2 linked regions of the Arabidopsis thaliana genome follow. The protein of the gene in region 1 interacts with the protein of each later gene in a pairwise test. Each region holds a gene or a part of one and is shown on either strand. Other genes may lie near its edges.

Evidence for each region. The genes of interacting proteins can lie anywhere in the genome.
Region 2: the proteins of TRB1 (region 1) and ETL1 interact in a two-hybrid assay, tested with the Arabidopsis thaliana proteins (one study listed by BioGRID).

Annotation. Positions count from the first base shown.
Region 1 is NC_003070.9:18,493,571-18,498,948, forward strand, and holds TRB1 (telomere repeat binding factor 1), read right to left. Parts: upstream 3,749-5,378; 5' UTR 3,559-3,748; exon of another isoform or gene 3,352-3,558; intron 3,181-3,351; 5' UTR 3,144-3,180; coding exon 2,994-3,143; intron 2,890-2,993; coding exon 2,681-2,889; intron 2,299-2,680; coding exon 2,214-2,298; intron 1,612-2,213; coding exon 1,528-1,611; intron 1,352-1,527; coding exon 992-1,351; intron 884-991; coding exon 869-883; 3' UTR 501-868; downstream 1-500. Other genes in the region: AT1G49960 (Xanthine/uracil permease family protein), read left to right, coding at 5,130-5,220. UniProt on the Arabidopsis thaliana protein: Binds preferentially double-stranded telomeric repeats.
Region 2 is NC_003071.7:521,308-527,618, reverse strand, and holds ETL1 (SNF2 domain-containing protein / helicase domain-containing protein), read right to left. Parts: upstream 4,397-6,311; 5' UTR 4,139-4,396; coding exon 3,554-4,138; intron 3,358-3,553; coding exon 3,240-3,357; intron 3,160-3,239; coding exon 3,119-3,159; intron 3,035-3,118; coding exon 2,784-3,034; intron 2,715-2,783; coding exon 2,534-2,714; intron 2,425-2,533; coding exon 2,239-2,424; intron 2,154-2,238; coding exon 1,980-2,153; intron 1,898-1,979; coding exon 1,739-1,897; intron 1,648-1,738; coding exon 1,570-1,647; intron 1,473-1,569; coding exon 1,336-1,472; intron 1,246-1,335; coding exon 1,027-1,245; intron 898-1,026; coding exon 735-897; 3' UTR 551-734; downstream 1-550. UniProt on the Arabidopsis thaliana protein: DNA helicase that possesses intrinsic ATP-dependent nucleosome-remodeling activity and is both required for DNA repair and heterochromatin organization.

The DNA of each region.
Region 1 (5,378 bases):
AGAATCACAATTATAGTAAAAATACCATGGTCTTTTTATTTTTAATATCAATGATTACAAATTATTTTAGTATGTCAAATTTCGGATGATTATATATATATCTGTCAATCACCTAATAATCCCAACTACATATATAATCGGGAGAAATTGTTAGGAATGCCCTTTCAAACTACTCCTTTTCAATTCTATCATTTTTTGTAATTTATTTTCATTTATCCCATCTTTTGATTTTTTATGGTCATTTTACTCTTATTTGAAAATATTTTAGGTTTAAAAAATATAATAATGATTTTTCCTATCAAAATTATTCCGAAGATAATTTTTCGACCAAAAAAATCCGACAAAAATTTTCCCGCCAAACTTTTTTTTCTTCCAAAAGATCATTTTCCCCAGAAAAAATAATTTTAATAGAAAATAGATTTACAAGAGTTTTTAAAAGATTTACAGGGGATTTAAAAGGATTTAATTCCTTTTCTGAACCCGAAAACGATCCATATAGTGTCCCAAAGTCATTGTGCTTTTATATCTTAAAAAAACAGTACTACTATTAATTGATAATACATACATAATCAAAATGCTCATTGGCGATAAGCATGATAGTGCATAGATAGATCGGTCTATAAATTATACACATTACTAACGATAGTTGTATGTATATTGGAGAGTGAGAAGAGCCAAATAAAACATTTTTTCCCAAAAGTTGTGCAGGAATCAAAAGAGTCAGAGCGACGACATACTGACAAACATATTTGATTGCTTACTACTAAAAAACAACTTCCCAAGTAAAGAGAATGATCAACACAAACACTAGGCTTCTCTCTACTCTCTCTTCACATTTAGTCTCCTTCTTCTCTCGCTTTCCATTACCTCAGGCACGGATCATCTGTCGAATCACATTTTCAACAAAAGCATTTTGAGATTTTCAAAGTTCTCTCATAGATATAATGTCTTGTGATATAAAAGAATATGGGTGTTTTTTTCTTTTTTTTACCATTTTGCAGATGTTTCTTCCTTTCAATGTCTTTGAAGCTTCCTCAGCGAAAGCTTGAGCTGCTTCTGCTTCGGCTTCTGCTGCCTCCGCTTCCTTTGCAGCTTCCTCAGCCTCTGCCATGGCAGCTTCTGCCTCTGCTACTGCCTGTGCTGCAACTGCTGCCGCCTCATGTACGTTCATACTCTTCATTCTGGCTATCTCTGTATCAATCTGTGACCTTGTCTGAAAATTCACTTCATCTATGTCTGTTTTAGGTGAAGGCAAAGAAGAAGTCCTCTGTTTTCCTCCAAACACCCCCAGACCTTTTCTCCTGTGGGAAGACAAGGGAGTGGAGTTTGGAATTCTGTACTTACGTTTAACCTGTAAAAGAGAAAGCCCAGATCAATAAACCTCGCAAGTTGCAGTGAATAATGGATATGTCTCTGTTCTACTGACATCCATGAACTAAATTGATTTGCACAAAAAGTCATACATACTATTCAAAAGACCAAAAATATATGCACTCAAAAGCATTAAATGAATGTAGGAATTCTTACCTTCACAAGTTTCCCGCAAGATGTCAAGTACTTTAGCTTGGTAGACAACAAGCGTTTGAAGTCTGGTGGAGCATGATATTGATCCTACACAAAAAAAAAAAAGGAACACGGGTACAGTCAGTCCTCTAAATCAGTCTTTTACAAGGAACTTAGACAAAGAATCTTCAAAGCAGTAATCGTACAAGTTGAACTCAATATTTCCCATGCTTGAATCACATAAGTAGACGAAAATATTTATGTCATTGGCGTGTTTCTGAATTAACTACAGAATCTACTCTTACGATATTCTCATAATTATATCGACTTAAGTAGATGCCACCACAATAAATCTCGTAATTACAGAAATATTTCTAGCCCTTTCAGCTTAGTTTCAGTCAGGATATTCAATGCACATTCGTCTATTCAGGAGAGGAGAAGATAAAGATGTCACCCATTGCCTTGCAATAAAACTGCCACATCCGTTGCCTATATTGATATTGAGGAATATATTCTATTGACACAACCAAAGGCTATATTTTGGTTTTCATCCGCAATGCTTCACAGGTTCTAGTTGACAACATATCAACCCACTGAGGATCATTCAAATTGAAATGTAACACGATGCGATTTAGCTGAGAGTAACAATTTAATAATACATATTGTCTATGAGAAAAGAAAAAAAAGATGCAAGAACGAAAACAGAATACCTCAATGTAGGCACCAATTGTTGTTTTGTTACAGCCACCAGGTTCTTTCAGGGTAGCTATTGCTTCCATTATAAGGCTATCCAACCTGCAACGTTTTTAAAAGTTACAATTTGTCTATAATAAAAGATTTGAGTGATACAAACATCTACGTGTAAGTGGGACTTTACAAATCCTCATCATAATTTCACAATTATAAAGCCACAGTGATAGGATTGAGCAAACGGCTCGCATGATAATAGTAAGAAGGAGGAGAAATGTACTAAGCCAGTGAAGACAACTTAAACAGAGGTGTGAAAACAAACCCATATCACATGAATGTAATCCAACACTTATCGACTTGCACAGAATAAAAAGTGACGGCAAACCATACATTTTGAGATGTAATCCAACTTCAGAAATACCAGCGAGAGAGATACAACAAAGCAACTCCTCTTCAATACAAGAAACAAAATAGACACATTTCTAACCTTACATTAGGTCTCCTTGGAGGAGGATTAGAAGAAACTTGGAGTCCAGAGGTCGCATCCACATTTTCTTCATCACTTTGCAAAGAATTGGTTAGGGCTAGTGAGTTCTCTTCCTGTTTAGGAAGGGAGAACGTCCTTTTAACAGCTAACCTAGACTTTTCGCGCGATCCCCAGCCATTTGCCATGACACTCATGTTTCTCCATTTGTCCTGTCCCAATACAATAAACAAACCATCTCCCAGTCAGATAAAATCACAAACAAAATACAGTAGCATTATCAAAGCTGACAAAAAGGATAAGAAGTAATCATGACCTTAAGATCAACATTGGAACGCAGGTACAAGACTCCGCTAAATTCAGGATCTTTGAGAATTGTGCGCCATTTACCAGGTCCATGCTTTATAACTCCAGACTTTAAAGCTGACTCTTCTTCTTGAGTCCATTTCTGCTTAGGAGCACCCATCCCGATTTACGGTCTGCTGTGTCAAAGCAAGTCCGTTCTGCAACAATACATATCAAATGTCACGAAACCAATCAGAACTAAAGTTTCTACATAAAAATGTAAACTTTTTCTTCAGTTGTAGCTCACAATTCATCATCAAATACCACAGAATAGTAAAACCCTAATTCCCTGTTCCGAGGAAACCCTAACATAGATTATCAAACTATACCGCAGCAATAGTTCAGAAACTAAGACGCAATAGCAAACACCAACTTCACATCACTGAAAGATGCCGAAACTCAAACCCTAGAAAAATCCGTTCTTTCAGAATGAAGCCTAATCTCATGCTGAGAATATACACAATCGAGAAAGAAGAAACAGATGAATTCACCAGGAATCAGAGTTTAGAGGAAGAAGAATCGATCATTCGCAATACCAATTTTTGTTTAATCTCTGGATTCAGATTTCGAGACGCTTGGGAAGCAGAAAAAGTTAGGGTTAATGCGAATACAAGGATTCAGAGTAACGGACCTCCGTCAATTCTGATGCGGCAAACCGCTTAGACCAATTAAGCTTTAAACGCGTTTTTTCACAAACGGCCTTAAAACGCGTTTTTTACAAACGGCCTTAAAACGCGTTTTTGTTTACGCTAGTTATTATATTCTGAAGATTATAAATTGTCTAAATATTTACAAATTCAACTTTTAATAATGATAAAGAAAATATCAAATTCCCCAAATGAAGTGTTAATATGATTGTCAAGAAAATATATTATCAAAACTAATACGCAGTGACCCAGATCATATTTACACGAACAATTTGGTTTATGTTTGAAAGTTTTGGTGGTGATTAAAAATTTGATGATTAAGTGGTATTTTGAACATAAAATACAAATATGTTGCTAGATATAATTCAGAAATGTGTGGTGGGGTGGTAGTTGTGATATTTTTTTTCAAAAATGCTATTTTCATTTTATCCATAGAATTTTCTCTATTGTTTATTTTTTCTGAAAATTATCTAGTTGACTGTACCACTAATTAAAAAAAAATTGTGGACATGGTAGTTGCGATATTTTGAGAGTTTTCCAAATCTATACACTTGTTTTAAACACATTAAAAAGTTTTATAATTTATTTATTTTTGAATTTCTCCAAAATTTGAAATATAAAGATCATTTCGTAAAAAAAAGAAAAGTTCGTTGAACATAGTTTTAGTTGATTTGTTTTACTAGGTTTATTTTCTGCAGATGTTCAGTAAAAAGAAAGAACCTTCTCTAATTTCACCTAGATATTTATGATTTTATAATACAAACTAATTTCATATTTGGGTTTAAATTAATAATTGTCCAAATAATTTCAAATTACAGTCAAAATAAAACATTAGCAATTAGTTCCATCCAAAATAAATTATTAAATTACCAAATTAACATTTTTAGCTCATGAGCCCAAAATTATTTATGATATGAAATATGTACTTGATAATAATTCAAGTCAGCAACAATAATTCATCAAATTTATTTCAAAATAAACCTCCTTAAATCTTTCTGGATTTTTTAACTGATAATCCTATTGTTTTATCTTATTTTCATTAAGCCAACAATAAGTCATACCAATTAGTCATTAGTTATAATTCTTGATATTGGTTAAAGAGAATGTTTAAGTGGTGGATGGAGTTAGTTGTATACTTTTTTGGCATTAAGATGAGAATAATTTGCTACTTATAAAGACTTTGTAATATTAAACATCATATTCTTCACATGAATATACAAGTGGACAATTCTGGTTAAGTCACACCAGTGGTTTAATCCGGTTCATTTTTCTACGTATAGCATTAGTGTTAATTACGTGCACGAGAACACAAGACAGAAAGTAAAAAAAGCAAGAAAGAGTCAACAAAGTTGCCCGCCTAACGATTACTTAGCACTTTTGAATCCGTTTTAAGCAAAGCCTTAGTTTGAATTTACAGCTCTCATCACAAAGAGAGTAGCCCTTCTCGAAGCGAGTGAGATATGGCAACAAAGACCGATGATTTTGCACCATTTCCAGTTAAAGATCAGCTTCCCGGAGTCGAATTTTGTGTCTCGAGCTCTCCAAATTGGCGTATGCTTTTTTCTTTTCATTTAGATTTTGTTATATAGTTGTGTTCTATTAGCAGTAAAATTATGTTTAGTCTTTAGGATAATGAATTTATGTTTCACCGATAGTGATGAACTATACGATTTAGTTTAAATTAGGGTTGTATTTCTTATTAATCTACA
Region 2 (6,311 bases), on another chromosome or scaffold:
TTCAGGTTCAATTTTAAGTGTAAATTGACCATGAGAACACCTTCAAAACGTGACTTGGCAATGGCAGTTACCACAAAGAATCCAAACTTAGTATGGCTTTGATTTACTAGTGAATTATTTTGTATAGTCATATTCAATTATTTAATCGCAATAATATAATCATGAATTTGAACATTTTCATAGATATTTATCTTCAAATGTAGCAAAAAAAAAAGACTATCTAGAATTTATTCCAAGTTATCTAGAATTTTTCAGCTAAGAAAAACTTATACTATGTGACATTCTTGAACCAATCCTAATAGAACTAGTTGTTCATTGTTAGGTTTCGGCAAAGACAATGGGAAAACAATCTAGTGAGATTTGTGTCTTATACAACTCTGACGAATAAAGATACTTGAGACCTTTAATCATTGCGTGAGGTTTTCAATTTTGATACCTACAAATACAGCTAAGTCACTCCTTTATACAATCTTTGATGATCGAAGACTAAACTATCCTGAAGGTTCACTTCATTTGATCACTGATCCACATTTTAGTGTTTGGAACAATTGTGACTTTTAGGTCTAAAGAAGGAAATTTTTGGGTTATAATTTACATGCGTAGAAGAAAATATAACTATCGTGATCTATTAAATTTAAGTCTAATAATAGCTAGTGGTTACACATGTTTAGAATAACACATTAACTTCGTTTCTTGACTAATTTTACCTCAAAACAAAAAAGGTAACAATAATGTTATCCCATGAGAAGAGAAGCAAGAATCTCTCCCATGGTTTTCTCAGGCGTGTCTCCGTTGTCATCTACGTGAACTCCGGACTCTAGAACCGCCGCATCAAGAACTAGTTTCCGCTTCGCTATCTCGTAGATGTTCTCATCAACCGTCGATTTCGTCACCAGTCTGCACCAGCATTGCCAGAGTTAATACAGATATATGTGAGAATACAAAACAGAGCACACATAAACCAATCCAAACCACAATTTTGTTCTGAAAGTTATCTAAACTGATTCAAGGATTTAAAGCTCAAACCTGAAGATAGTGACTGGTTTTGTTTGACCAATACGATGGCAACGATCTTCAGCTTGCCGATCAATCTGTGGATTAAAATCCATATCGTGAATAATGACTGTATCCGCTCCGGTTAAATTAAGACCTTGTCCACCTGCTCGAGTTGACAAGAGACATGCGAATATCGACTTATCGTTGTTGAATGTGTCGACTATGGTTTGTCTATCTGTAACTTGAGTACTGTTGAAAACAAAAGGAAAATGACTTAAGCTTCTTCCTTTTTGTAGAATCGTCAAAAATGTGACAAATTACTCTTTTTTCTTTTATTACCTGCCGTCAAGTCTTCGGTATGTAACGCCGATGACATCAAGTGTCCATTCTAAGATATCGAGCATCGATGTCCATTGACTAAATATTAGAACACGATGGCCGGATTTCTTCATTGAAGGGAGAAGCTCAGCTAATGTCTGATACATAAAGGGAGATTTAGATCGCTCACAGGTTTAGTTATACTTAATCAGTTTCACAAAGAAGACTTATGAAATGAAGAAGAATATCACGTACCCGACATTTTGCTGAGAGCATGACATGTTTGTCTGAGAGAGTTCCTTTGGTATCGTTAACTCCATATTGGAACAAAAGCTATGGAAAGAAACAAGTTAGTTAGCTTCTTCAATTGCATAACATGTTTGTTAATGGATATTCAACTGCTTTTGGAAAGAGAAACATTTACCTGGTGGATACGGAAATCGTTGAAACCCTTAACTTCCTCGATAACTCTATCCAAGGAACATTCAAATCCAAATGCACCGATTGGGTGCAATTTCCTGGCGATGCGAATGACATCCTCATCGCTGTATATCCGCCTAATTAACAATGGATGGTTTGCAATCTGTACAACCAAAATTTAATAACACATGAATAACACACTCATTTGGCACAAAAGGGGCTTTGTATTAGTAGCTGAGAATTACCTTCCGGAATTGAGTAAAATAGTTTGAAATTTGACGCTTTGGAAGTGCCTTGGCTAAAGAATTCAAGGATTTTGATGAAAGCTTCACAAGCCGTGCTTGAGAAGCAGCACGATACTCCTCTATGGCTTCTTTATATGCATCTTCCTGCTTTCTCTCCATTAATACATATTCAACCTGCATTGGATTGATGGGAAATTAATGAGATTTGCAGCTAGAAGATTAATATCGTGTACTTAATTGTGCATAGATATATCCATACCCGCTGTATCTTCGGAACAAGTTGCTGCATGACATCAGATTTTAAACGCCTCAAGATGAAAGGACCTAAGATAGATTTCATTCGAGTAATCAACTCAGTATCTTCTGCATTCAACAACTTCTTCAAGTCAACATTCTCTGTCGTAAATATATCAGGCAACATGAACTCCAACAGCGACCATAGTTCCTGCATAGACCAAACATATGCAGGGAATAAGCATTGTATGACCACATGAAGAAATGTCGTCTATATTAGGTAATTAGATCCTGAAAAAATCAACAGAAACCAACCGTACATGCAAATCATTTTGTAGAGGCGTTCCTGTAAGCATAAGACGCTGGTTTGCGTTTCTGGCCACAGACATCAAGTTTTTCCACCTATAACTATTCTTATCCTTTAACGCATGGGCTTCATCCATCAAAACACAGCTCCAGCGCCACCGTTTCAGTACTTTTCGGTCATCTTTCTGTTGTTCACTGTAAAATTCCAACATCTGTGAGTAACAGGAAAAGCCAAAAAGCAAATAAAAGCATCAAGAGTTGCACCTATGCCGTTCAAACAGAGAGTAACACACAAGAAGCACATTGAATGGTGGTGGCTTCCCAGCTTTTGACAAAGAATTCAATTCTCTTGAGTAGGCTGCTCTCGCAGCTCCGTGGTATTGAAGTACAGTAAACGACGGACACCATTTTCTGAGCTCTCTCTCCCAGTTTTCCAAGACAGAGGCAGGGCATACAACCAAATGAGGACCAGGGTCATTGTTTAAGCGACTTAGGAGGGTTAAATATGTGATTGCCTAAGGTAAATGAGAACAAAATTAGTTCTTTATAAGATAAAGAAACAAAGAAAACTTATCCAGTAATAACAGAGCAAAATGCACCTGAATGGTCTTTCCAAGACCCATCTCATCGGCTAAAATGGCTACAAACAATAGAAAGTGAGTTACAAAGTGACATTCACGCTAAAAAGGTTTACAGATCGAAACTAGTAAAAACACATACCTCCTTCAATTCCTTTCTTATACAACAGAAGAAGAAAGTTAACACCAACTAACTGGTACGGCTTGAGTATAGGCTGAAAATCAGAATCCTCTGCTTTACATGCATCATCAATATCATTCTGCGATCATCACAGATTCAACCCAAAAGTAAACAAGTTTTAGTTAACAAAACAGTAAACTCTAACCAAACCAATCAAAGCTTACCACCAAAATATGCTATCTAATCAAAAGTTACTTCACAATTGTATAAGGAAGACACTCTAAATCGTCTCAAAGCAACTACTTTAAGAACACCAAAGTGATAATTTCCAGTACCTGTGTGACAATCCTGACAGTAGAAGTTTCAACTTCAGAGTATCTATCAGTAACACCAGAAGAAGTACCATAAAGCTCTTTTCGAAGATCCGCTGAGATTTTAGCACACTTTTGCAATGCCTTCCCCACAACATCTTCATCTTCTCCTCTCCTTCCTCCACTTCCTCCTCCTCCTCCTCCAAATTCATCCTCACTAGCACTACTCTCAGCCTCATCATCATCATCATCACTCGCTTCTTCATCTTCAATCACAAATCTCCTACCAACTCTCGCAGCGCGCATCACAACCTTAGTCTCTTCCACTTCTTCTTCATCCTCTAACAACAAATCCTCACCATTCACAATCTTCACATCCGAATCCGAATCTCCCAAATCCTCAATCTCAACACAATCACCATCGCTGCTATTACTCTCAATCGTCATCGCCGTCGAAGGTCTCCTAAACGCAAAAGACTCAATCGACGGCGTTGGATTCGTCGCCGCGCGAGTCTTCTTCGGAGTCCGTGGTCGTTTAAGAACTCGCGAAGCGTTAAACGAGTGTTGAGACCACTCTTCCTCGGAGATTTCGTCGAAATCGCGTTTCATCTTCCGAGAATTTACGAATCCCAGATTGAATTGAAATTGAGAAGAAGGGGAAAAAAAATTCACATGAAGAAAATTGAAAACCCTAGATTGAGATTGAAGTGACTATTATTGCATCGAATTGAAGAAGAAGAAGAAGATGAAATTAAAACGAATTTAGCGGAGAAGGAAGGGAAAGGTCAAGATTTCAAAGAAAGGTTAGAGACTCAACAACGTGTTGCTTCTTACAAAAGAGCGGCATCCTCCAAAAGCTATGCGCGCGGACTTAATCTCTTAATGGGCCCCAAGAAATGGGCTCTAATGAGTACTTAATGGTGAACTTAAGGGATCCGAAGAAATGGGCCCAACGACTTCACTTTCTCGACAAATCTAAAAGCTTGTGGTTTGTTTGACGCACTTGAAAAGGGTTTTTAAATCCATGGGGTTTGCTTGAAGATTTGGTTTTGAAATGATGGTTGAGGTGAGAAATTATTTGGTTGACATGTATTCATAATGTGGAAGAATCTGAGAGTGTGTTTCGTTGGATGGTGGATACTGGATAGGAGTCTTATAAGCTGGATATGTACATTGAGGGGTATGGTAATAGAGCTTTGGCTACGTTTGGAATGTTGCGGTAAAGATAACCTCGTCGTTCTCGATCTTAATCCTCATTCTACAGGTTATTATCATTTGTATATATATGTTTACTAGCTAATCCATTAACTCTGAAAATTAATATTAACTCTCGGAATGGCAGAAACAGAGTTGTTATTGAGTTTCTCTGACCTTGCCATCTTGGTGACGGCAGTTTCAAATACTAAATATTTCCATACAATTTTGGTTCATCTAAAACAACTGGGTCTTGGGCTGTTTGTGGTATATCTCTCCTTATATAGGCTCTTTTGTGTGCGTGACTGTGTGCTATTTCATATTACTAACTTGAAATCATATTACAACCCAATCAGGGAGGCCCTGATTGAATATGGCCCGGCACTGACCCATTGCAGTTGGTACGATCTCAGTATAACTTAAAAAGCATCGATGGTAATGAAGAGAGGATCAAGTTGAGAAGTCACCTGTTACTTAAATATGTTGTCGTTTGTAAACTAAAATAAAACTAAATTGTATAAGATTAAAAAGCCCAAGTGAAAAGGAGAAAATCAAACTTTACGGTCGAATAATAATATATCAATAATATTTTCTCAAAGCTCTTAAAGTGATATTGGAGATTTTGTGATATATCGTTTTAAAATCTATTCAGATCGGTTGAGAGTTGGTTACTCGTTCAGGATTAATTAGGTTTGATTCAAAACCAATCGGTTCGATTGTTTTGCATTGAACATTCTGAAAGGTTGAAGAATTGAACCAAAGAAGAAAAGCAATATATTAATTTTCATACAAGAATCTAACAAATTTTAAAAAATTCTCTATTGATTGGTGTATCATGTGTATTAATATACGATATGTTATATTATAAACGATTTTATTAGATAAAAACAATTAAAAAAAAGTTAGTACAACAAAACCTAATCAAGTTAAATGAAGAGAAAACGAGGGTTTTGTCTTAAAGCTCACCAGAAAGATACGAATGAGAAAAATGTGGTACCCACAACACACCCCCGCATGTGGACACATTTCACCGTTTTAACAGTGACACCCAAACCGTAACCATCCTTCTTAATTCTGTCAAATTAAATTATAAGAAAGAAAAAAAGTAGCTTTATTTTATATTAATCGAAATAAAATAAAATGATAGAGACAGAGAGGGGACCTTAGAGACATACTTTTCAAGATCATTTCATATATGGCTTATTTTTAAAAGAAGAAGAACACAAAACAGTAGAGAGAGAAAGAGATATAGAGATAGAGAGAGATAGGGCTTTGAGGTTTGTGTTTGTATTATAATACATAATATATAGGAATAGTGTCTTCTTCTTCATCATCATCTTCTATCTCATCATCATCATCATGCATCATCTTCTTCTTGGTTCTTTCTTTAGCTCCGATTTATAGCTTTTAATTTTGACTATTTTTTTTCCTTCTTCTACTTGGTTTCTTTCTCTTGATCTCAGGTACAAGAAAAATACAACTTAGAAATCTTTCCTCTTAATTCTTTCAAAAGTTTAGGAACAAAAAACAAAAGTATAAACTCTTAATTTGTTTTTCTTTGTTTATGTCTTCTAGTGAAATGGTTTTT